Linked DNA regions of Medicago truncatula. The protein of the gene in region 1 binds, or shares a complex with, the protein of each later gene. Links are inferred from orthologs where the notes say so. Each region holds a gene or a part of one and is shown on either strand. Other genes may lie near its edges. The genes, in order: thioredoxin-like protein CITRX, chloroplastic; fructokinase-like 2, chloroplastic; fructokinase-like 1, chloroplastic.

Region 1 (7,910 bases):
GTCCCTTGATGGAAGTAAAAAAAAAAATATTCAACAAAGGATAATAACTATTATACAAGTTATGGCTTTAACATTTCAGTAGAACATATGTAAAAGTAAAATTACTTTGATTGTAAACTGGTTGCGAAGTTGTAGTCATTTCTTTCTAGTGTTATTTAGAATGACGGCTTAAATACAATTTTTGTCTCTCGTTTTCTCAAATTCACGACTTTGATACTCCGATTTATTTTTCACGAATTTGGTCCCTACACAATGCACACATTTTTTTTTTTTTTTTTACAGTTTTGGTCGCTCAATTTTGAGGATTTTTGGCACTTTTAGTCCCCAAAAGTGTAAAAAATTATAAAAATTTAGGGACCAAAATTGCAATTACAAAAGCGTCGTAGTCAAATTCATGGAAAATAGTATGCAGGGAACAAAACGATGAGTTAGCAAAAAGTTTCATAACTGCAGCTGTTAAAGTTCCATAACAAAATGATGCATAAATTGTAAAACAATTACAACTGTGTAGTGTGAATTTGCAGCATTGCAATTAAAACTCACAACAAAACCAACTAGGACTAATGGAACATTGATTGAGTCATCACAAATTCACAATCTAAAAACATATGCATTAGCCTGTTCAAAGAATATTCCACAAGTTCCAGAATTAAGCTCATTTTGTTGCATTTGCAGGAAACCAGAATCCCAACTCTATTTTAACAATTGCTAGAACAGCAAACCCGACTCTAAAGTAGACAGATAAATAAATGCACGAAAGACAGAAACAGTTGATCACAGAGTTTGGTCAATTGAGCCTACGACTACAAAAAACAAAGTGGCCGTTGTTGTTTTCTATTATGCATTGCTTAAGGTTACAAAGTACAAAGTTGTGATTAAATGCTACATTCCATATTACAAGTTTACCCCTATGCTGCGGTCAAGCGCCTGCCTACTTATCATGAATGTGAGTCAAACTCAACATCAATACATTCAAACAATAACAACCAAAGCCTTTTCCCACTAAATTAAGTAACAATGCATTTATCCAAGATTGGCTTCATCCTTTTCCCACTAAGAGGCTGATGATGATGGAATCTGTTAAGAGACTCACATTGGACGATATAAGGTCTGGAAATATGTATATAAGTGGGAGACATCGGTCACCTTAAAAGTCGGATTTGTAGGGTTTAGTTAGGCCTAATCCACATTATATGATGCCTTCAGAGTCTATCCAAGATCTGATGGGCCACTCGCAGTCATGTTACGCTTCAAATGTCTAGTCCTAAGCGTGATGGGGAGGTACGAGTCTTGCATTAGATGAGATAGGAAATGAAAATGAGTATATAAGTGGGAGGCATCTGTCATCTTTCAAACCAGTTTTGTAGAATTGAGTTAAGCTCAATCCAATGGTGACTGTCTAGCCTTGTAAATTGTAATAGCAAGGGACTGTGTTCGAATCTACGAAGGAACAGTTTACATGGCCTAAGTGCCTCCCCCTATTAATTAAAAACAACATGATTCACTTCATATCAATAAAAGAGTATGAAAACCTTTCACTCTCCTCACATTTTCAAGCTCGTGTACAAAGAATAACCTAAATATAGTTTAGAATACAAGACCTAGCTGACCATGTTATCTTCTGCATAAAGATTGATAAACATCATGAATACTCAACCTGAGTAATGCAAGATTTTGACATGAGAACAATGCTCTTGCAATAGATACAACATATGTTTGTCATTGATCAACCAAACAGACTTTCCAACAGATAGATACTTTTAAACTTTGAGGTCCAGGCAAATGAATAAAATTTCAAATTCATACCACAGTGGACAATTTTAATGAAATTAGTAGTTTCACACGACAAATCTAAAATATAACACAAATGAAAATATGAAATATAAAGCATGTCATTATAGTTATACCATCTATTGGAGTTCAATTATTACAATTAATTGTTAGTTTATGCCAATAATCAATTCAAATTGAATCTACTTCTAGGCAAGTTAAACTCTACTAGTCTGTTTTACTTCTAGGAAAATCTTTAAGTTTGAACTGGCTTATTTGAGTTTATTGACTGGGATAAGCAATTGTTTGTAACACTGTTCGGGAGAGATTATGAAAACAGTGACATGTTCATAAAGCCATTTTCAGCTTATTTTCACAAGCTCTCTAGGACAGCTAATGAAAACAGCTTATATAAAAACAATTTACTTTATTTTATGATGATATTTTGTTTGATAAGTAGCATATAAACAATTATATGATAAACGCTTATGCGATATGCGCTAAATTAATCTGTTTATCCAAACCGGGCCTAAATATTCTAAGGAGTTGAATACTTTAATCTAATTTTTGGTGAATGATTACTAACCCTTTTAACAATCTAGAAAACTATTAAAAACTAAAATGGTCATCTTAAAAAAACATATGACAGGAGCAATGGTTAAGCATTTTCGGAATCTAACATCAATTAAACCTCATACCATTTCAAGTTCTTGAGCCATTAAGATGCATGGACCACACCAAGTCGCGTAGAAATCAATAATAAGAGGAACATTTCTATCTCCCTTCACCAGCTCTTGAATTTCTTCAGCTGACAATTTTTTCTGCAAAATTTGAAATTTTTATAACATAGAATTCACAAGAGAAAAAAAGAACACAGACCCAAATTTAGTATTAAAAAAACAAAGCTATTAGAAATGACATACCACAAGATAGTCTTCTTTAATATGTTGTCCTTTAGGTGGTTTGCAAAGCAACTTTCTATTGTTGAAGTCGGTGGATATGGTGAGAGGATAAGGATGTTGATATGTTGAAAAAGAAAAAGCAGAAGAAGAGGGAGAAACAGAGAGAGGTTTTGAAGAGAAGGTTGAAAAGGGTGAAAGAGTTGATATTTTGTGATGTGGAAGAGTGTAGGAATGGAAGAGAGCCATTGAAGATGGAAGATTTTAGAGAGAGAAAGAGAGAGTTTTTGAGTGCGGAAAGAGAAAGAGGGTTTTTGAGTGAAGGGGTTTATCATATCTATCTTTGTACTTAGAAGTTAGAACTAGATAGATAGGTCTCTTTGGTTTGTCTTTCACAGTTCACCAGTCACAGTTACTTTCTGTGTTTTAGATTTCACTTCATTTTGAGGTTTGAACGTATTTTTAGGTCCTTCCAAGTCAGTTTCAATCACAAAAATAAATAAGTTTTTTTGAATCATATTGCATTGTTGTTTTGGGATCGAATTTTTTTTTTTTTTTTGTTAAATTTCGATTATATAGGTTTTATTGATTTTATGATATGTTAGGATAGTTTTGGTTAGAATTGTTAGAGAACTTTTATTGAATTGTTAGGTTTAGGTTTTGATGAATCGTTGTAGAATTGTTAGAATTGTTTAGATTTAGGTGTAGGTTTTGATGATAGTTTAGGTTTAGGTTTAGTTTTTGATTTTACGATTTTATGGCATTGTTGTTTAGTTAGGTTTTGATCGCCATTTTTTTTTAATGTAGATATGTCTCAAATCAGAATTAGGGGTAACGTTGAGGGTGATGAGAAGAACAAATAAAAATCGCTTATGACATGACACAAAATTGTTTGTGATGGTTCCGAAAAAAAAAAAGGGTTTGAAGGTGCCGGTGTACAATCACTCCAGGTTGAGGAGGAGATGGAGGACATGCTATTTTGTTCCTCAACCAAAACAAGGTGCCCCAGGGACTGTAGCGGGCAACCCGATTAACTTGTGTGACGAGGAAGAATGAATGTAATGGTTTTTAATGTCTAATTGTTTTGGATTTTGTTTATGTTTTATTTTCGTGTCGCGCACATTTTGTTTGGCATTATGCTACTTAGAATAAAATCGCATTTGGAATAATTTCGATTAAAGTCGTGTTTTGAATAATTGTGTATTCGAATAAAAACTAATTAAATCTAACGTGAATTCAACTAATTAAAATTGTGTAATGAATAAATAAATTCGAAAAGTGAATAAATAAGATAATTATTCTTCCATTCAAAACAAAATGTATTATGCATATTCAACTATATATGTTATCACATTACATTGCATTATATTACATTCTGGAATATACCTTCCAACTGCAACAATTATCTTACCACTGAATGGGGCAAATTCAAACTTGTTAAGCAGCAAGACTCCAACATCCAATCAGCATCTTGAATGATGGTATTCAAGTGTCAAAAGAATGAGGTGCATTCCTTGACACTTGAATACCAGCATTCAAGAGGCTCATCAAATGCTGGATTCCTGCCGTTTAACAAGTTTGAATTACCCCATTCAGAGGAAGACAATTGTTGTAGTTAGAGGTTTGTACCTTCCAACTACAACAATTGTTTTACCTTTGAATGTAGTAAATTCAAACTTGCCAAGCAGCATGACTCCAATATTCGACCGACATTCCCAATGTTCCATTCAAAAGATTAAATTCTTGTTAGTCTGGGATTAAATGATGGTATTCAAATGTCAAAAGAATGAGGTCCATTCCTTGACACTTCAATACCTTCATTTAAATCAGCCTAACAAGAATTTAATCTTTTGACAGGAACAATGGGAATGTCGGTCGAATATTGGAGACCTGCCGTTTGGCAAGTTTGAATTACCCCATTCAAAGGAAGACAATTGTTGTAGCTGGAAGGTGCATTCATTCCGTACCTAATGACGATCTTATGGCGGAATCAAACTTTTGATGATATCTTCAATTGATCTCAGCAATGTCACCCGCATATTGATCCACTGGAACATGTTGTGCTCCCAAAACATGCTCGTCACGTTTTCGTCGTTCGTTAATTCCACCCAAGTGAATGATACTCTCCCCTAGTCGAGTGTTGGACGTTTATACTGAACGTATTCCACCCTCCTTGCGTCTCTGGGGTTGACTCCTTGTTGAATTCAGTCAGTTCATCCTTGAGACCTCTTAAAGTTACACCAAGGCGCCGAACCTTCAACCTCTGAGGTTCTCCGCCGTTGAATTGTGCACGAACGTCGATCCACCCGACCATTGTTTCAAATCTACACAATAAGAAATTAAAAACAATCAATGAAAAACTCATTCAAACATTTCATCAAACACTTGATGTGCAAATTATACATAGACTCCAAAAATCATAAAAATAACCCTAAAATTATAAATCATATACTCTTACTAAAATAAAAAAGTTAATCATATACTATAACATAAATCATTCAACTTATGTTTAACATAATTTTTTTTATTATAACGTAAAATATAACAAAATTATTCAACTTATATTTACTCTTAAAATAAATCACATACTCTTACTAAAATAAAATAAAAAATATAAAACACCTAATTAAAATATAACCCTAAAATTCTAAAGTATAACATAAACATCATGCAAATATTTTAACAACATTAATCAACTAACATCTACTCTAAAAATTAATTATAACATGTAAATCTACTCAAAAACTAAAAAAATAATAAATCTACTCATAAACTAACAGATAAAAACATTTATAACAACTAAAATGTAAGTTAATAGCATTATAATTACTTACTTGTGATTTTGTTGAATAAATTTGGTTGGATTTGCTTAGGTTTTTTTTAGAGAGATTTGATAAATTTTTTGGAAGATGAGATGAATAATAGATGAGAGAGCTTCTGCCAGATTTGTAGCAGAAGATCCTCGGCTGTTTAATACCGAGGTTTTCCTCGGCTGTTAACTGCAGCCAGTTTTTAATTCCTCGGCAGTAACTGCCGAAGGGGCAAAAACGTATTTTACTTGTGTTTCTCAGCCTTATGAAATGTGTCAACAACAATTCTCTACTTGCAGATGTTTCTAACTCAAGAGATAAAAATGTTAAAATTGTTAGTTTGATGTTATGACAGGTGTTCGAACCCTAACATCTCCACTTGTCTGTGTGAGTGTTTATAATGATTTGGTTATTTCGTGTACCTAAAAAATATACTTCTTATGTCCCGTTTTAAATGACTTAATTTGAAAACGTGTACCGTTCATAATACATGTTTTGACTCTATTTTTTTACTAACATATAAAAACAAAATATAGCATATAAGATGTTGGATTCTCCTTCAAAAAAAAAAAAAATCTTTGGATTCGTTTCGATGATTATTTTTAAAATATCAAATTTTCATAATTTTTTTTCTAATAGATTATTAAAGATATTTAAATTTGAAATTGTGCATTGGCATACGTGACATGGTCAATTAGGTCACATAATATAGGACGGAGGGAGTATTTTTTCTTTAAATATTTTTTTAAAAGAAGGTTTTGAATTATTTTTGAAAGTTAAAAAAATGATTATAGAGACTATGTGTTGACATTATATTTATATATTCTTCACGTAGTCTCCTGACATTAGTTTAAACTCTGTTAGTTGGATGTTATGATTGAGGTTTAAATCCCAATATCTTTGCTCTCAAACTAGTATTTGACTTGAAAGAAAACACGAAAAAGTAGTCGATGATTCCAAAATTCGTTAGTCATTGTAGTATATGAAATGGTTGTTTGTCTAATTTTTTAATCATCAAGAGTATGGGGATAGAAATCAAATTTTGAGCTTTTGTTTAGTTGGGTTTTTTAATAATGTTATAAACATGTATGAAAACAATTGTTTAAAAATTTAGGAGTTAACTAATTTTGTTTTATCAAGGACCTAAACCCGTGTGCAAAAAAAAAGTATAAGGACTAAAATATCTATTAAAATTAAGTAAGGACTAAACTAAAAAACATATTTAACTTAAGGGTTAATAGGTTTTTACTCCCCTGCCATTTGGGAGTCTTTTGGTTTACCCCCATATAAAAAAAAAAACTTGGAGATTCCCCTTTGCAAAATGAAGATTCTTTGATTTTGGACCCTGAGTTGAGTCCATCTGACTGTGTAATTTGGTTGATGTGGCGTGCTGACTGTATAACGATGGATGAAGTGGCACCGACACGTCATAATTTTTTTATTTTTTATTGTTAAAATTATGTTAAAAATGTGAAATACCTAAAATACCCCTAATGATAAATTAAAAATTCCAAATCTTTTTCTCCCCTTCTTCTCCTCCAGCAGCGATCCTCTTCTTCTATTCTTCTCTACTTCATCATATACAACAAACACAACAATTCAAAACAACAACAACAAACATCTTCTTTTCAAACTCACAACAACACATCATCAACAACAACCCAAATCACAAACATTCATCTTCTCACCCATAAAAGCAAAAGAGTCTCAAAATAGGTCTTAAAATTCTAATCCATAAATCCGAAGAGAAAAAATACGAAAAATATTATTAATATTGTTTATGGGTCGAAAAATGGGTTTGATAAAAAATGGGTTGTTGTTGTTTGAATCTGAATCTGTTTGTATTTGTTTGTGTGTTATTAATGTTGTTTGATTGGATCCAAAAGTTGTTTTGATTTGTATTATTTATGTTTTTGGCTATGTTTTTGCTCAACGAAGAGAATAGGAAGGAGGAAATGGGAATGAGAGAGAAGGGAGTAAAAAGAAGAACATGGAGAGAAGGAAGAATGGGGACGAGAGAGAGAAGGAAGGAGGAAATGGAGGAGAAAAGAAAAAATAATTTTTTTTAATGTTTTTAATTTATAAAATTAAGTTTTTAATAAAAGAAATTCAAATAGAAAAAAAAAATTGGAAAAGAAATAAAAAAAGCCACGTCAGCTGCAACCTCCTTAATTAGTGCACAATCAGCGTGCCACATCATCTCATTAATCCAGTCATATGGTTTGGGGGTATAAACCAAAGAATCTTCATTTTACAGGGGGAATCTCCAAAAAAAATTTTGACAGAGGTATACCAAAAAACCCCAAATGACAGGGGGTAAAAACCTATTAACAACTTAAATACTTTTTTATACATACATCCATCATATCATGTCACGTAGTTATATGTTGAGACATTTTAAAAGCTTAGATATATGTGTAAAAATATTTTA
Region 2 (7,227 bases), on another chromosome or scaffold:
TACCTGCAACAATGCCGTCTCCAGATGCTGACATGTCACGAGTGAAAGGGGTAATTGGGGCATCCTCCATACCGCTAACAGCACCATCGAGCTCTGTGGTGTAGTAATGTATCTTGGAAGTTCCATTAGTCACAAACAAAACCTTAAGATTTTCGTGCCATAGTGGTGCAACTACTTCGGGTTCGTAATGGACAAACTTTGACCTGGCATTGTTTTTGGTGTCAAATTCTTCAGATGGTGTTATCCCGCATAGGAACTCTAGTTCTTGCTTAGTGACTTCAATGATGTCTGCAAGATTCCACACTTGCTGAATGAACGTCTTAGTTTCTTCCTGAGAGTGCCATAGTGGCATAGGAAGGTTTACATCGTAGAAAACAACTGCTCCAAAATGCTTTGCAATCTTGATAGCTCGCAATGTCGTGGATCTCATGTGACGATCAAGGAGGGAATGTGTGTTGAAATAGAACATTTTTGCCTGCATGAGATGTGTTCTTAATAGACTCAATAGCATTTAGTAATAATCTAAACTCCCAAGCAGCTAAAACAAAACAAAAAACTAAGTAGAAGCATACATTATACAGAGAATCTGACATACAATCAAACAAACATGCCTTATATGTTAACTGTTAAGTATAAAACTATTCACGAGCTTTCAACCAACAGCATTACTTTTTGGTTTATGGTTTGCAACCAAAGCTTCTATGTCCAAGTCGTCCTAGGGTCCAATCCTTATTGTCGCCATGTTTCTAAACAAATGATAGATTTAAAGAAATATAGGGTACATCTAGTCGTCTTTGCTCTGTCAATAGTCAGGCCCAAACAATTATTGTGTGAAAGGGCATGATACTACAACGATTCAAGTGTTTTCACTAAATAGCTTAGTTTTGGGATAGTTGGTTCAAAAAGAATGAAGCCATCTACAGAATCATTCATGTTTCTACTTTTTTGCTTAAATGTATGCATGCTTGTAACTAATATCGTAACGACACACCATTGCAGTAGACAATATCGTTGTAAAATGCTACTTCTGTCCCTAATTATAAGTACATCTTAGAACGAAAAAATTAATTTCTAAACATAAGCCCCATTTCAAATTAATAGATGCATTTATTACTTTATTCCAAATATACCCGTTATTATAATACTACTAATTTATATATCTGGAGAGATGAGAAATTAGGGTTTGACACATTTATATACAAAAGGTTATTTTAGTAACAGTCATACACATATTAGATACAATACCTATTTTTTTAATATATATGTGAAAATGATGAAAGGGGCTTGTGAATAGAGATGGAGGTAGTATATAACAATTACAATAGAAAGATGATGAAACTGCATATTTGTTAAAATGATGATGAAAGGACTTACAAATACGGACAGAGGTAGTATAGAACATAAAAAAAACTGTTCTATCAAATGTAGAAAAGCACATCAATTTCAAGTTCAATAAGGCTGCTATATCACCAATGATGAGACTAGAACATATAATCAACAGAGAATACTATTTACTTCATTTAAAAATCATTTTCTTCAATGAGTTTCTAGTTCCGTACCTCTTTCAACACGTCAATATTTATCTCTGACTTTGTCAAACAATCTTCAGCACAGGGTTTTACACAACTTAGCTTAAGTTTCCTTTTACCAATCTTCATCAGTGACACACCTGTTGCCCTTTTACTATCAATGCTGACCGATCGGGTTTGAACATTATTTGCGTTCATATAATACAGCATCGCTTGACCATATTCATCATCTGCAAGTTTTCCCATAAAAGCAACCTTGCCACCCAAACTAGCAAGAGCAATGGCAACACTACCGGCACAACCTCCGGGAGCCCTAACAAATTTCTCAGGGCTCCAGAGGGCATCCTTCATTCTTTCGTGGAGTTCATGATCTATAAGCCTATTGGCAGGCCTACCTGAAGGCACAAAAGCATGTTGTGCAGCTCCAAAGCAACAAACAAGAGGAGGCCAACCGTAGGTATCACTTATGTCCTCTCCATCATATTTTTCCAGATCCAAACCATCGTCAATCTCATCCTCCACATTTTCAATAAAGGAAGGCTCGTCTATGTCACTGATTTCGGCTTCACCACCACCTTTATCCTCTAAAATTATATTCTCCTCTTTAGGTTTCCTTCGCCTTGTAACTTTTTTCACTTCCTTAACTTCTTTCTCTTCTTCCAAAACAGCAGAACTAGATGCATCTATAAACCATATCAAGGTTTAACTAACACATATAAACAAAACAAAAACACACATAAAATTCTTAACATAGAGACAGATAAAGCGATTAGATTACCTTTTTTCCGAGTCTTTCGTGTTTTCTTCTCAGAACCATCCCCAGAGGGAGATGAGCCTTCTACAATAGACGCACTATCTACATTTACCAACAAATCAATTGCCCCTTCAGGAGACTCATCTATTGATTTTTTCTTAGTCTTTGCCGACACCTTCTTAGGTTTAGATGCTTTAGTTGCTTTCTTTTCCACCACAGGTTCATTTTCACTAGATTCTTCTTCAACAGATCCTAGTGAAGCTTTCTTCCTAGCCATTGCAACATGACCAGATTTACACTGAATTTTGAGACCCCCAAGTTGAACTACGTTCATAGAAGCATAGCAATAAGACCAAGTCAAGTTACACCTGCACACTTGCAAAGACAAGAGTTACACATTCAAATTCAACCAGCAAAAGAATTATACACTAACATTCAATTCCAAAACTAGAGCTGAAACCCAACACACACACAGCAAAGTTGAATAAAAAAAGTAACTTTTTTAGAAGAATTATATTTTTATGCAAAATTGAAAAAAAATTCATGCTACCCATTTCATTAAAAATCAAAATTGGATAAGAAAAAAAAAAAAAGAAAAAGAAAAGTGTTTTTGTTACTTTTTTAAGACTACAGATAAAGGGTACCTGGGAAGTGGAAGAAAGTGAGCAAAGGAAAGAGACGACATTGGAGAAGAAATTGAGTTACAAAGAGAGGTTAGTGTTCTGTTTAGGCATCACACTTAACATACTAGCTAAGGTTTTGAACAGAAGAAGATTTGCTTTAGAGAGAGAGAAAGAGGTGAAGGGTTTAACAAGGACCAAAACGACAAGGGGGTTTAAAAGAGATAAGGGTCTTCGGTAAAACACATATTACCCTCCGGTAAGAAAAATAATATTTGAACATCCATTTGATGATAATTTTTGTGTCAACATTCTTTTTCATACTCATGTCATTTTTACTTTAAATTTCTGTACAACAATAATTAAACCGTATCTTTTTCTTATTTATCTTATTTATTATTATTCATTTAATAAATAAGAAAAGGATACGGAAACATCAAAATCCAATTGCAATTTGCAACCTCAAAGTAATAATTAAAAAATTACTTATATTAATATAAGTATTCTTTTAATTATTATTTTTTCATTTAACTTCTTGTTATTTAACTTGTTATCTTTTATCTTTCAAAAAAAACAAAACTAGTTATCTTTTATGGTTTACATGCGTTACCATTAAACAAACGAAAAAGTGAGGGGTTTTAGTCTTTTTCTTCCTTCTTGCATAGGTGCTTAGGAATGTTTTTTCTCTGTGCATTCCTCTTCCAAGCCAACTCATGATTCATAAAATAATCATCAATTCAGTAAGTTATGGCCATTTCTTTTTACTTCTTATCATGCCATGTGTTTGATAATATGCCTCAAAGGCTTCTGGATCTGTTTTCTTTTTCTTTTTCTTTTTCGTGTTATATCATATTACAAATTACAAATATCCAAGCTTTTATTATGCAATTGACTATTATTTTTTTGTGAGATTCACTAAATTGGAATAATGCCTTATTGTTTTTTATTGCTATTGCATGAAATTTCAATACAAATTGGATTTTTTGGGATAATGTGAATTCTTTCTGACTATTTTCTCTTGTGACTAATGCATGATTTCAGTTTGTACCAGCTCAAGAGTTTTAGGATATTGGCTTCGATACACTTCGGGAAGCCTTTCTCAGATGAGTATACTTAAGTACCTGAGCGCGCGCAGGAGTCAGCTCTGTGCTGCAAGAAACTACCTTAAAGGTAATGCAACTTAAAGAAGCTGCTATTTTGTGTACAACCCTGAAATTTCTATCATCTAATATAGGAAGAGATTGGTTTCAATACACTGGCAATGCAAAAAAAAAAAAAAAAATTTAAGCATGCGTCCAATCAAATTATACTATTTCTAGAGTTTTTTTAGGAATCAACCTAAGAAAGTGGCATCATGAGATAATTTGATTGGATGCATGTGTAAAAAAGTTTTAGACCGTCGATGTATACAAATTAAAACCATATAGATATAGGAAAGCAAGAAAGACTGGATTGAAGTTTGTTTCTTTTCAATGCTATGTGAATCTGTGTTGAGTGATGTGATGGTTGCATAGTGTTGCTCAAAGGCAAAACCAAATATGTGTATGAGGAGTTGTCAATATAAGGGGTTTGGGTGATGGAGGATTGGCTTGAGATGTGATTTGTTTTTTAATCAAATGACTTTACCAGTAAATTTGGTTAGTATGAAATATGTCTGACTTGCAGAAAACTAAAAAGATGAGAACAGAACAGAGTGGTAAACAGAGAGAAAGGCGCATACACTTAACTCTAGTTTAATAAAACTTCGATTACTAAACAGAAATATTCACTTTTCTTCAACATGTGGATCCAACCCAGAAAGCACACTAGACCGTATCCAACGTTCAAAAAGCCATTCAAACCCATGCTCTAGTAATTTATGGCTATTTCTATACACTTTTCTGTAAAATAAAACCAACATCCCAAAGTCACTAAACATTTTACCTTTTCTGTAAAATAAAATCAGCATTCCACTCCACTCTAGCCTTTTTTGTTCGTTTTCAGCTAAAAATTATAATTTGTGAAGCATGCAGGCTGCAGCTTCTACCACCATTCACCATCTTCAAACTTGTTATAATAACATTACATCTACAAGCCATTCCGACTCTGTCAATCTCTCTCCGTGCAAGAATGAGATTTAGGGATCAAAGTCATTGTAAAGTTTGATTTGAAGGTTATTTTTTGAACTTTTTGAAATGTAAAGTTAGTTATTGAATTATTATAACTAAAGAGGTGAATAAAATAAAATTATTTAAGAGAGTCGTAATAAGATGATGATACTATTTTTTAAGAAAATCTATTAACTACACATTTTTAGGGCCTTGTTTTTAGAGCTGGCCTTGGTTAGTGAATATTTTTTTTTCTTTGTTTAAAGGTTCTTAAACCCAAACATTGTCATCTACTGATACTCACGGGTGGAGATATGGAGAGGGTGGTTTCTTTTCTTGGTTTTCCTACAATACTTCTATATTTATGCGATTAAGAAATAAGTTCTTTTAGCTCTCTAATCCACAGACAGTACATAAACTGGTTTTTTGTATTGCCAAGGTTTCATAATAAAAGGATATAATCAATCTAGAAAGAAGGTTATCAGAGTTCATCAGTTTTGGCATACTCAATCAAAGCCTATTATTTACAAATGTTATTTTTTATTTTATTTTTCCTTGCAGTACTCGGATTGTCATCTCTTCACACAGCTCCAAACTCCTCTGTTGAACTTCACACTCAAGATGAGGAAGTAGTGATTGCTTTGGGAAGTAATGTTGGCGATAGACTACAGAACTTCAAGGAAGCCTTGAAATTGATGAGAAAGTCAGGCATAAACATTACAAGACATGCGAGTCTGTATGAGACAGCACCAGCGTATGTTACTGACCAACCTCGCTTCCTGAACTCAGCAGTAAGAGCTGTTACTAAACTCGGGCCACATGAATTATTGTCTGCACTGAAACGAATCGAGAAGGACATGGGCCGTACTGACGGTATAAGGTATGGTCCAAGGCCAATGGACTTAGACATTTTATTCTATGGTAAATTTAAAGTCAGATCTGATATTCTCACAGTACCTCATGAAAGAATTTGGGAACGACCTTTTGTCATGGCCCCTTTGATGGATTTACTGGGAACAGCTGTTGACAATGATACAGTTGCTAGCTGGCATTCATTTTCAGGCCATTCTGGTGGACTAAATGCATTATGGGAAAAATTAGGTGGAGAATCCCTTATTGGAGAGGAAGGTATGACTAGGGTAATGCCTGTTGCAAATGGCTTGCTTGATTGGTCGCAAAGAACATTGGTCATGGGGGTTCTTAATTTGACTCCAGATAGTTTTAGTGATGGGGGAAATTTCCGGTCTGTGGAATCTGCTGTTTCGCAGGCTCGGTTGATGATATCAGAGGGTGCTGATATAATTGATATCGGTGCTCAGTCTACTCGGCCGATGGCATCGAGGATCTCTGTCGAAGAGGAATTAGGTAGATTAATCCCTGTACTGGAAGCTGTAATGTCAATACCTGAGGCAGAAGGAAAACTCATATCGGTGGATACTTTCTACTCCGAAGTTGCATCAGAGGCAGTGCGCAGAGGGGCTCATCTTATAAATGATGTATCTGCCGGGAAGTTAGATTCAAATATGTTTAAGGTCATGGCAGACCTTGATGTTCCTTATGTTGCAATGCACATGAGGGGTGATCCGTGTACAATGCAGAATAATGAAAACCTGAAATATGATAATGTCTGCAAGGATATATCCTCAGAATTATACGCGCAGGTTAAAGAGGCAGAAATGTCGGGAATCCCGGCGTGGAGGATTATTATGGACCCTGGAATTGGATTCTCAAAGAAAACTGAAGACAATTTAGAGGTCCTTGCAGGAATACCTGATATTAGAGCAGAGTTTTCAAAAAGAAGTTTGGCAATCTCTCATGCTCCTATACTAATTGGACCTTCAAGAAAGAGATTTTTAGGTGAAATTTGCTCTCGCACTTCTGCAGTTGAGAGGGATCCTGCTACCATTGCTGCTGTTACTGCCTGTGTGTTGGGTGGGGCTAATATCGTTCGAGTGCATAATGTCAAAGATAATCTAGATGCCATTAAGATTTGTGATGCAATTCGAAGACAAAAATGTTGTCCGGTGAAATTTGGACAGTGAATTGTCTTGCTATCACTGTTTTGGTGCTAATTTTTTTTTGTGTGGTTCCCATGCCACCTTCCTTGTCTGTGTGTTTGGCTTCATGAAACAATACTAGTACTGTTTTTTACCATGTCTCGCTGCTGCTCCAGTGTCATATATAGAACACTACAATGATGACACTGCAAGAGCAAAGAAGCATGTACTACATTGAGT
Region 3 (7,415 bases), on another chromosome or scaffold:
ACAATTAACTACAATCTAATGCTTAATGACACTGCTAAATTTTCTATTCTCGTTGCACAAACAATTTTTATCACCACATTGAAGGTACATAAACTTGTTCTTTCAGATTCTGAGCAGCACTTTCAGTAGGAAAACCTCTAACTCCACCGATAGTCCATTGCGATATAATTCCGGCTGCAACAGCAAAACGTAGCTGTCTCTCCAAAACATCTTGGTCTTCAAACATTTCTGGACAAGTGGTTAGTTTTCTCATAATAGCAGCCACAATAGCATCACCCGAGCCAGTTCTATCGCAAGTATAAGGAGTTATGAGCACGTCTTCTGTTCCAACCACAACCCCGTCAAAGGAAGGGGTATAATAGTGAATTCTAATTGTTCCATCGGTCACAAACAAGAACTTAAGACCATCATGCCACAAAGGCGAGATATCCTCGGCAGTATAATGGTAATACTCTTGATGATTCTTGGTTTGTTCGTACTCTTCGGCGTAGTATTGTGGTTTATAATTTCTCTTCCTCTCATAATGTTCTTCGTCTAGAAGGAATTCTAGCTCGGTTCTTGAAACTTCAATGATGTCTGCTTCTTGCCATGCTTTCTTGATTATTTCTCGAGTCTCGTCGCGTGATCTCCACAGAGGTAATGGCAAGTTTATATCAAAAAAGACAAGGCCACCGAACTTCTTAAACCACTTAATTGCTTTGAACAGAGTTGATTCCATAGAAAGGGATGTTAGAACTTCTGAATTGAAATGGAAAATCCTAGCCTGCAAAAATAGTCCATAGAAAAAAGTTACAACAAATTTTATTCACAGAAGATTATTCCTCATACATTAACAACCTATTACCATTTCAAAAGTGTCAATAAAATCAACTTTGGGATGGGTAGAATTGATTTAAGAGAAGCAAAATTTTATAGCTTCCCAAACTCTACATGTGTGACTTATAAGTGATTTACACTTCATAAGTGATTCCAATTTATCTTCCAAACAAAATTCATTCAACATTGTAAAAAATTGCTCTACCTTCCAAAATGTGAAGTATCAAAAATGATTTTGCCTCATGTCAAGACGCACTGTAAGAATACTAATGTTGGTTTACCTTACACACAAAATTGCCTCTGAACCTCAATTTGACAAAGAGTTACGAAAAACAGCTTTGACATTTGATTGACAGAATGATACTAAACTATATATCAAACTTGCCTTCACATTCGGTGCAAAAACGTTAAAATATAAGCCACTTCTCTTCAAACTCATTGTAACATATTCAATATTAAAAGAATCAACTTCATACAATATCACGTTTAATGAACATTGTTCCAAATAAAGGCACAGCCATCTTCCTCATACATTAACAAACTTTCACCATTTCTAACCGTGTTATTATACCACCTAACCTAAAAGAAAAAGTTCCCTTCCCTAAATAACATGAAAACAAAGCATGATTATACTTTTTTAGCATGGTTATCAAATTGGGATACTAATTGCGAATGAAAAGACCAATTCAATCATGAATTAAATCTCATTATGAGTGGTATAACATACGTCACCAATAAAAATATAACATGGCATTTTTTAAGTAAAAACAAATGACAAAGCAAAATTATAAATTGATATATTATATACAAACCTCAAAATAATTTCATAAATCAAATGACAAAAGAAAAGTTGCCGAGTATAAAAAGATGACTAAAAAAAAGAGCTTACCACACTAAGTTTGAGTAATGACTCATTAGAATGAGTCGGGATTCGTCATCATGAATCAAGATTTAACTTACGAATTGAGATTTAAGATGGAATTCATGTCAGAAACAGATACACTCTAGAGATTCATATTGAGTTCATATTTATAAAGTCCAACTCAGCCCAACAAAATCGGTTTGTACAGTGCGGAATGTCTCCCACTTACGAACACATTTTAAGACCATATCTCATCTAATGTGAAACTCCTATCAAACCCCATCACAAAGAAGATAGCACATTTGGAGCGTGACCTGAGTGGCCGATACCTCAATGAATCTAGAATAGACTCTAATACAATCTTAAATTTTGGGTTGTACCTAACTTAACCCAACAAAACTGTCTTCTAGAACAAGGGATGTCTCGCGCTTATAAACACATTTTCATATCACATCTTACCTAATATTAATAACTATGTTTTTGAGTAAAAAAATAAGCAAATATAAGTGTCAAAAATAGTAACAATTAACAATGCAAGTAATTTAAAGCTAAAAAACAAAACCTCTTTCAAAACAGCAAGATTCAATTCATCACTCCTAAGAGAATCCTCAGCACATTCCTTAACAATCTCCATCCCCATCTTCCCATCATCATCAAACTTCACCTTCATATAACTACACCCAGTCCGAAACCCCGAATCAAACTTCACCCCTCTAGTCTGCACCTTCTCCTTATTCATCCCCAAAACAATCTCCTCCCCAAACTCATCCTCCCCAACTTTCCCCAACAAAGCCGCCCGTCCGCCAAGCCTGACATGGGCCACCGCCACATTCGACGGCGGCCCACCAGGTGCTCGCGCAAACTCCGGCGGCTTCCATTGTAACATCTTCCATTCTGTGTATATATCTGGGTCCATTGGAAACTCCTGCACACGCACCGTAGGTAGAAACTCCCTCTGTGCTGCTCCGAAACAGCATATTAACGGTGGGTCATCGTATGGGAAATCAATTCCGTCGTCGTAATCTTCAAATTCTTGTTCATGTTCTTGTTCTTGTGTTGTGTCGTTTTGAGGTGTGTTGTTTTTTTTGTTGCGTCGTTTTAAGGTTTGGGATTGTGTTTCTGTTGTGGAAGCTTTAGGAGTTGTTATGTGTCGTTTTGAGGTTGTTGTGTTTGATTTAGAAAGGGTTGTTTGGGGTTTTTGAAGTGAGGTTGTTTTTGGAGAGTGAAAGAGAGGAAGAAGGAGAATTGAGGAGGACATTTTTATGGGTTTGGATTATTGGAAGGGTTTATCATTCATTTTGTGTAAGAAAAAAATGCTATGAGTTTTGAAATTCTGTGTTATCCAAACCACCTAATAAAATGGGTGTTTTTTTTTTTGCTACTTTCAAGTTTGAAGGATGGTGACAAAAAAAAAAAAAGTTAAAGAAGTATAACTTACATGATTTAACTCGCGTGGGATATACGAATGTAGTGAATGTGGCCTAAGTCACGTTGAGTTCAACATCTTAGTGACTTAAGTCATGTGGATGGTATTTTGGGAAGTTCAGTTGGGAGTAAGCAAATCTTGATGGGAGAAGAACAATTTTCATCAATATTAACACTCTTTTCAATGGTTTCTATTATATTCACATTTTTATTTATTGAGCTATTCCGCTTAAACAATGTATAACTCAATAGTAATGTTAAGATTGTTACATTTTACATTGTATGTGGTTATTCAGATTCAAACTCGAGATCTTTTATTTGTGTATGTGAATTTTATATGGTGTTTGACACTATATATAAGAATTTCATGTGAATTTCATGCCTAATATTGATGCATATATCTTTACATTTATATCTGCCTATCTAAGAAGTAATTAGTTAGTAACTAGCTAAAGATACCAAAAGAGAGTTGACCCTAGTAGTAAGTACTTAAGAGGTGACATTATTAATATCGAGTAAAATTTGTTGAAGCTAGGATGTAACTAGTTATTAATTAAGGAAACAAGCGACTCTAGGGAGGGAACCAAACCTAGTAGAACCATTCTCCTCGATCCTTGGTAAGGTAGACGCTAATAGGGCTGCCCATTTGTAGAACTACCGAGAGGGAGAATGTGTTATGAGATACCTAATATTCATATATGGGAGAACCTTTAGGAACATTGGCCTTAATTGATTTTGAAAATTTAGGAATGTCAATTTAAGTTTATGTTTCAATTACTTTTGAGGGAATAAGACCCCGCACGTAAGGATCGCCATGTGATTAGCAGGTGCAACTCAACATTGGAGGGATAAACCTAAATCAACTCAACCCAAAGAAGGGTAAAAGTTAAACCGTAAATCTGCAATGTGTTAGGGCAGTTAAGAATTTGACAATTACTTTTCTCACCCTATGACCTTCTGGCACACCCTATGCAAATTACGAAAATGCCTTTCGGATTATAAAATCCGGAACATGAATGCGTGTTCCGGAATATAAAATCCGGACAACTGCGAAGTATAAAAGGAACTTCACCCCCCATTTTTACAGTTTTATTTTTACAGAAGATGGATATATCGAATGGTTTTATCGACATTCTCATCCACGCATGATTCTTCATGATATGCCGCTACCGGTGCCGAGGCCACCGGAGCGTGAGATCCTTGATGCGCAAGCTACTCAGGAGGATGGAGACCTTGCGTACCTACAGCTTAGCGGAAGGATGAGCCGCATCAGAGACCACATCTATGATGTGATGAGAAGTGGTCTCGTGCCGAAAGGGACTGTGGAATGGCAGCATTTGGAGGATGCTTTGAAAGAGGTGCATGATGAAAAAGTTTACCGTCACCGGGGAGCCACTGAGGGTGGCAGAGGTGGTGGCTGGGGTGGTGGCAGAGGTGCTGGGGGTGTAGTTATTAGGGATTGATTGTATTTTATTTACTTTTAATGTTTGAACATCTTGGATAATTTTTGGTGATGTAACATTTGAATATTTTTAATGTTATGTAATCTTGGATAATTTTTAATTACGTTTGTTTAATATTATGTTTGCAAAATTATATTTTGTTGATGATTATAACTTCAATTTACTGTTAGAACATGTCTTCGATTTACAGAGGCTCAGCAAAAACAAATGGCTTATGCCTTTGAACCGATGCATTCCGGATTATAAATTCCGGATTATATAATCCGGAACCATCATTCACCACCCCGTTTTATTGACTTTCAACAGGGTGATTTACACCTTTCGGATTTTATAATCCGAAAATTCTCTAAATTGTTCGGATTGTATAATCCGGATCCATCTATTCATAACTTTACATCTTCATCCATCAAGATGATGAAGTGCCAAAAACCACAAAACATTCCGGATTATATAATCCAGACTGTGGATATTTTGGGGAAAAATAGGGCGCACGAGGAAATGCATAGGGTGGAAAAAGTAATAGTCTAAGAATTTTGGATAGGTAAGAAAAGCGATCGGGTACGGGTTACTTCATGGTTTACCACGTAGACCTTTGATCCAACGGGTATATTTACGCAGACACGTTGGCAAGAACCGCTTCAAGCCGTTAGATATCTTCCTCTGGAAAATTCTTTGTTATAAGAAGTGGGTTTCTTTATTTCACTTTCACTTTCAGTTTCAAAACCTCGTAGGTTGCTCCTTTCCCTTCTTTTCCAACAGGTAAGAAACTCATCTCAATTTCTTATTATATTCATTATTTATTCAATTTAATTTAATCTATTATGTCTTCTTCATTTGATTAATTAACTTGTTGGAGAAATTTAATTTGCCATTTATCATCACAGATCATATGGGAATTTTTAGTGATCACTGGTGAAAATATATTTTTAGTTAGTCTGGTTTTTAGTTAAGAAACTTGTGGGTATTGATTTGTTTAAGATGCTTATTCCTTAATCTGTACCCCTAATCTAAAGAGTGTCTGTGTTTAATAGAAGGTGAGTTTGATGAAATTACATTGACACCATAGTTTTTTTTTTTAAGTCCTAAAATGTAGTTTTTGCCAAAATCACGGTGGTACCATATTATTAGAAACTTCAGATTTCGAATTTGGTACATTTAGGGAAGGGAATGTATGTACCAATAGAATTGCCAATGCTGGTTTCTTTGTAGATGACTTAGTTTGGTGGGATAACCTTCCTAGTTGATCTTCCCAATTGCTCTAGAGAAGCCTTTTTAGAGATAGATTCGGCTTGTCTATTTTTGAAAACTTGGTATCTGGCCCAATGATTGAGTAAACTGAGGGGTCCAATCCCACCGTCCACGTGCGGGTGCCTATTTAAAGTCAAAGCTGTCAGAGCAAAGCTTTTTATGGACTAACCCATTGAAATTGGCACTGGGGGGGATCAAACCTGGCCAACCCAAGTGGGTTTAGATCTGGCTTATCTAAATTTTGTTTTTGTTAGCCTTGTTTTGGTGGGTTTGGTTTATGCCCCCACCCTTGTTTTCTTTTTCATTATGAATAATACTTTTGGAGGTGCTATTGGTGGTATATTGAGGTGCCAATGTTTCACGTTGACAGAACAATACCTGTGATTTTGCATTAAAAAAACCGATGGTACAGCATTATTCCGCCAAACTTACCGTCAATCCAAGTTTTTTAGTCCCTATAAATCTACAGACATTTCAAGTTTATTCCTTTCAAAACTGTTATCCATTTTATCCTAGCTTTCATAAAAACAAGGTGTCTTTAGTTCCTCTGCAACGAGATGAACTAAAAAGTAACAACACCTTATTTTTTTATATATAATGTAGGTCTAAAAATGTATAAAATCAGAGATGTGATGTCATGCAACTTGTCTGGTGATTTTGTGATATTGTAGTTGTACCATTGTTGACTAAGAATCACGTTTTGCTTTATTTTTCCAACTTTGATGTATTTTACGGTGATTTTAACTTTGTAGAAGAGATTAAGTTCATTATAGTGAAATTTCTGTCTATATGGCAGCTTGGAGCTCTGTTGTCTGGGGTCCATATTGTTCTCCACATGATTATTTTGTGGGGATAATTTACATGATTTGTCCATGATATTTTTTTGATTTCACTGACATGTTCACATGATATTTGGTTTTTCTATTTGCGATTTAAGGTAATAACTTGAAGGGGGTATTGTTTTTTATTAGAAATTAGAAATAATTACATTGAGTTCTTATGAGATGTTTGAACATCTGAGATGTTTCAATTGCTATATGTTTTTCACTGCCCTGTGCCATCTCATAGTTGTGTGTTGTTTCTAAACAATTGAGGTAGTGAAGTTGTGGTACTTAGAGAATGAGTGTTTTTGAGTTGTGATAATTGAGTGATATCCAAAAAAACAGATGGTGAATACCTAAGAAATAATTGAGTGAAGTTGTGATACCTAAGAAATAATTGAGTGAAGACGAGTATCATATTGCACAACCTTCAAGATTTTTATGAGTTCTCTGTGGATTTTAAGTCAGCAAGTAATTTAGTATAGTTTTTTGAAGGTTGGTTTTGAGAATGAGTATTTATGGATCTCATTGTTTTTATCTAATATTTAAAATTTTTGTTGTTAATTTTGTGTCAAAAAGTAGAACGTTATTCTAGTTTGAGTTTGCATTCCCATCTAGCTGAGAGGATAAGAAAAAGTTGAGATGCATTTTATTGTCATGTTTGAGGGGCATGTAAAGTTGTCGAGGGAAGGGTCATCTTCCCAACATCTCTTTCTATTTTCACCCAGAGAAATCTTATGATTGTCAATTCATCAGATAGCGGCTATAGCCGATAGCATA

What was found.
Region 2: the proteins of thioredoxin-like protein CITRX, chloroplastic (region 1) and fructokinase-like 2, chloroplastic are in contact, whole or in part, in a cryo-EM structure (PDB 8XZV), measured with the Spinacia oleracea proteins. The link is inferred for Medicago truncatula from reciprocal best matches to the Arabidopsis thaliana genes TRX z and FLN2. Residues at the interface, in XP_021862427.2 of Spinacia oleracea: Tyr73, Lys77, Ile83, Thr84, Val87, Arg88, Phe99, Tyr100, Thr102, Trp103, Gly105, Pro106, Ile108, Leu109, Gln112, Asp131, Asp133, Tyr136, Phe138, Ala139, Arg140, Asp141, Met142, Gln143, Val144, Arg145, Gly146, Leu147, Pro148, Tyr151; in XP_021858068.1 of Spinacia oleracea: Gln218, His219, Ala220, Phe221, Val222, Pro223, Ser224, Gly225, Arg226, Pro227, Ala228, Arg230, Leu231, Ile232, His234, Gln235, Ile236, His237, Leu240, Lys241, Ala243, Phe250, Ile251, Asp282, Tyr283, Thr286, Trp308, Ala310, Met311, Ser312.
Region 3: the proteins of thioredoxin-like protein CITRX, chloroplastic (region 1) and fructokinase-like 1, chloroplastic are in contact, whole or in part, in a cryo-EM structure (PDB 8XZV), measured with the Spinacia oleracea proteins. The link is inferred for Medicago truncatula from reciprocal best matches to the Arabidopsis thaliana genes TRX z and FLN1. Residues at the interface, in XP_021862427.2 of Spinacia oleracea: Tyr73, Val75, Lys77, Ile83, Thr84, Val87, Arg88, Tyr100, Ala101, Thr102, Trp103, Cys104, Gly105, Pro106, Cys107, Ile108, Ala111, Gln112, Lys129, Asp131, Thr132, Asp133, Asp134, Tyr136, Phe138, Arg140, Asp141, Met142, Gln143, Val144; in XP_021865197.1 of Spinacia oleracea: Gln111, Lys112, Glu113, Phe114, Val115, Pro116, Ser117, Val118, Arg119, Val120, Ser121, His123, Gln124, Met125, Asp126, Pro127, Asp128, Ile129, Tyr130, Trp133, Met136, Gln137, Pro141, Phe143, Asp175, Phe176, Lys201, Ala203, Cys204, Ser205.

What each region holds. Positions count from the first base shown.
Region 1 is NC_053042.1:14,273,481-14,281,390, reverse strand, and holds the start of thioredoxin-like protein CITRX, chloroplastic, read right to left. Parts: upstream 3,035-7,910; 5' UTR 2,919-3,034; coding exon 2,694-2,918; intron 2,592-2,693; coding exon 2,469-2,591; intron 1-2,468. UniProt on the Arabidopsis thaliana protein: Thiol-disulfide oxidoreductase that plays a role in proper chloroplast development, most likely through regulating plastid-encoded polymerase (PEP) dependent chloroplast transcription.
Region 2 is NC_053046.1:19,649,902-19,657,128, reverse strand, and holds the start of fructokinase-like 2, chloroplastic, read right to left. Parts: upstream 3,102-7,227; 5' UTR 2,969-3,101; coding exon 2,928-2,968; intron 2,652-2,927; coding exon 2,308-2,651; intron 2,213-2,307; coding exon 1,560-2,212; intron 476-1,559; coding exon 4-475; intron 1-3. Other genes in the region: folate synthesis bifunctional protein, mitochondrial, read left to right, coding at 4,007-4,073, 5,552-7,032. UniProt on the Arabidopsis thaliana protein: Required for proper chloroplast development, most likely through regulating plastid-encoded polymerase (PEP) dependent chloroplast transcription.
Region 3 is NC_053045.1:6,419,024-6,426,438, reverse strand, and holds the start of fructokinase-like 1, chloroplastic, read right to left. Parts: upstream 3,027-7,415; 5' UTR 2,937-3,026; coding exon 2,241-2,936; intron 764-2,240; coding exon 71-763; 3' UTR 1-70. UniProt on the Arabidopsis thaliana protein: Required for proper chloroplast development, most likely through regulating plastid-encoded polymerase (PEP) dependent chloroplast transcription.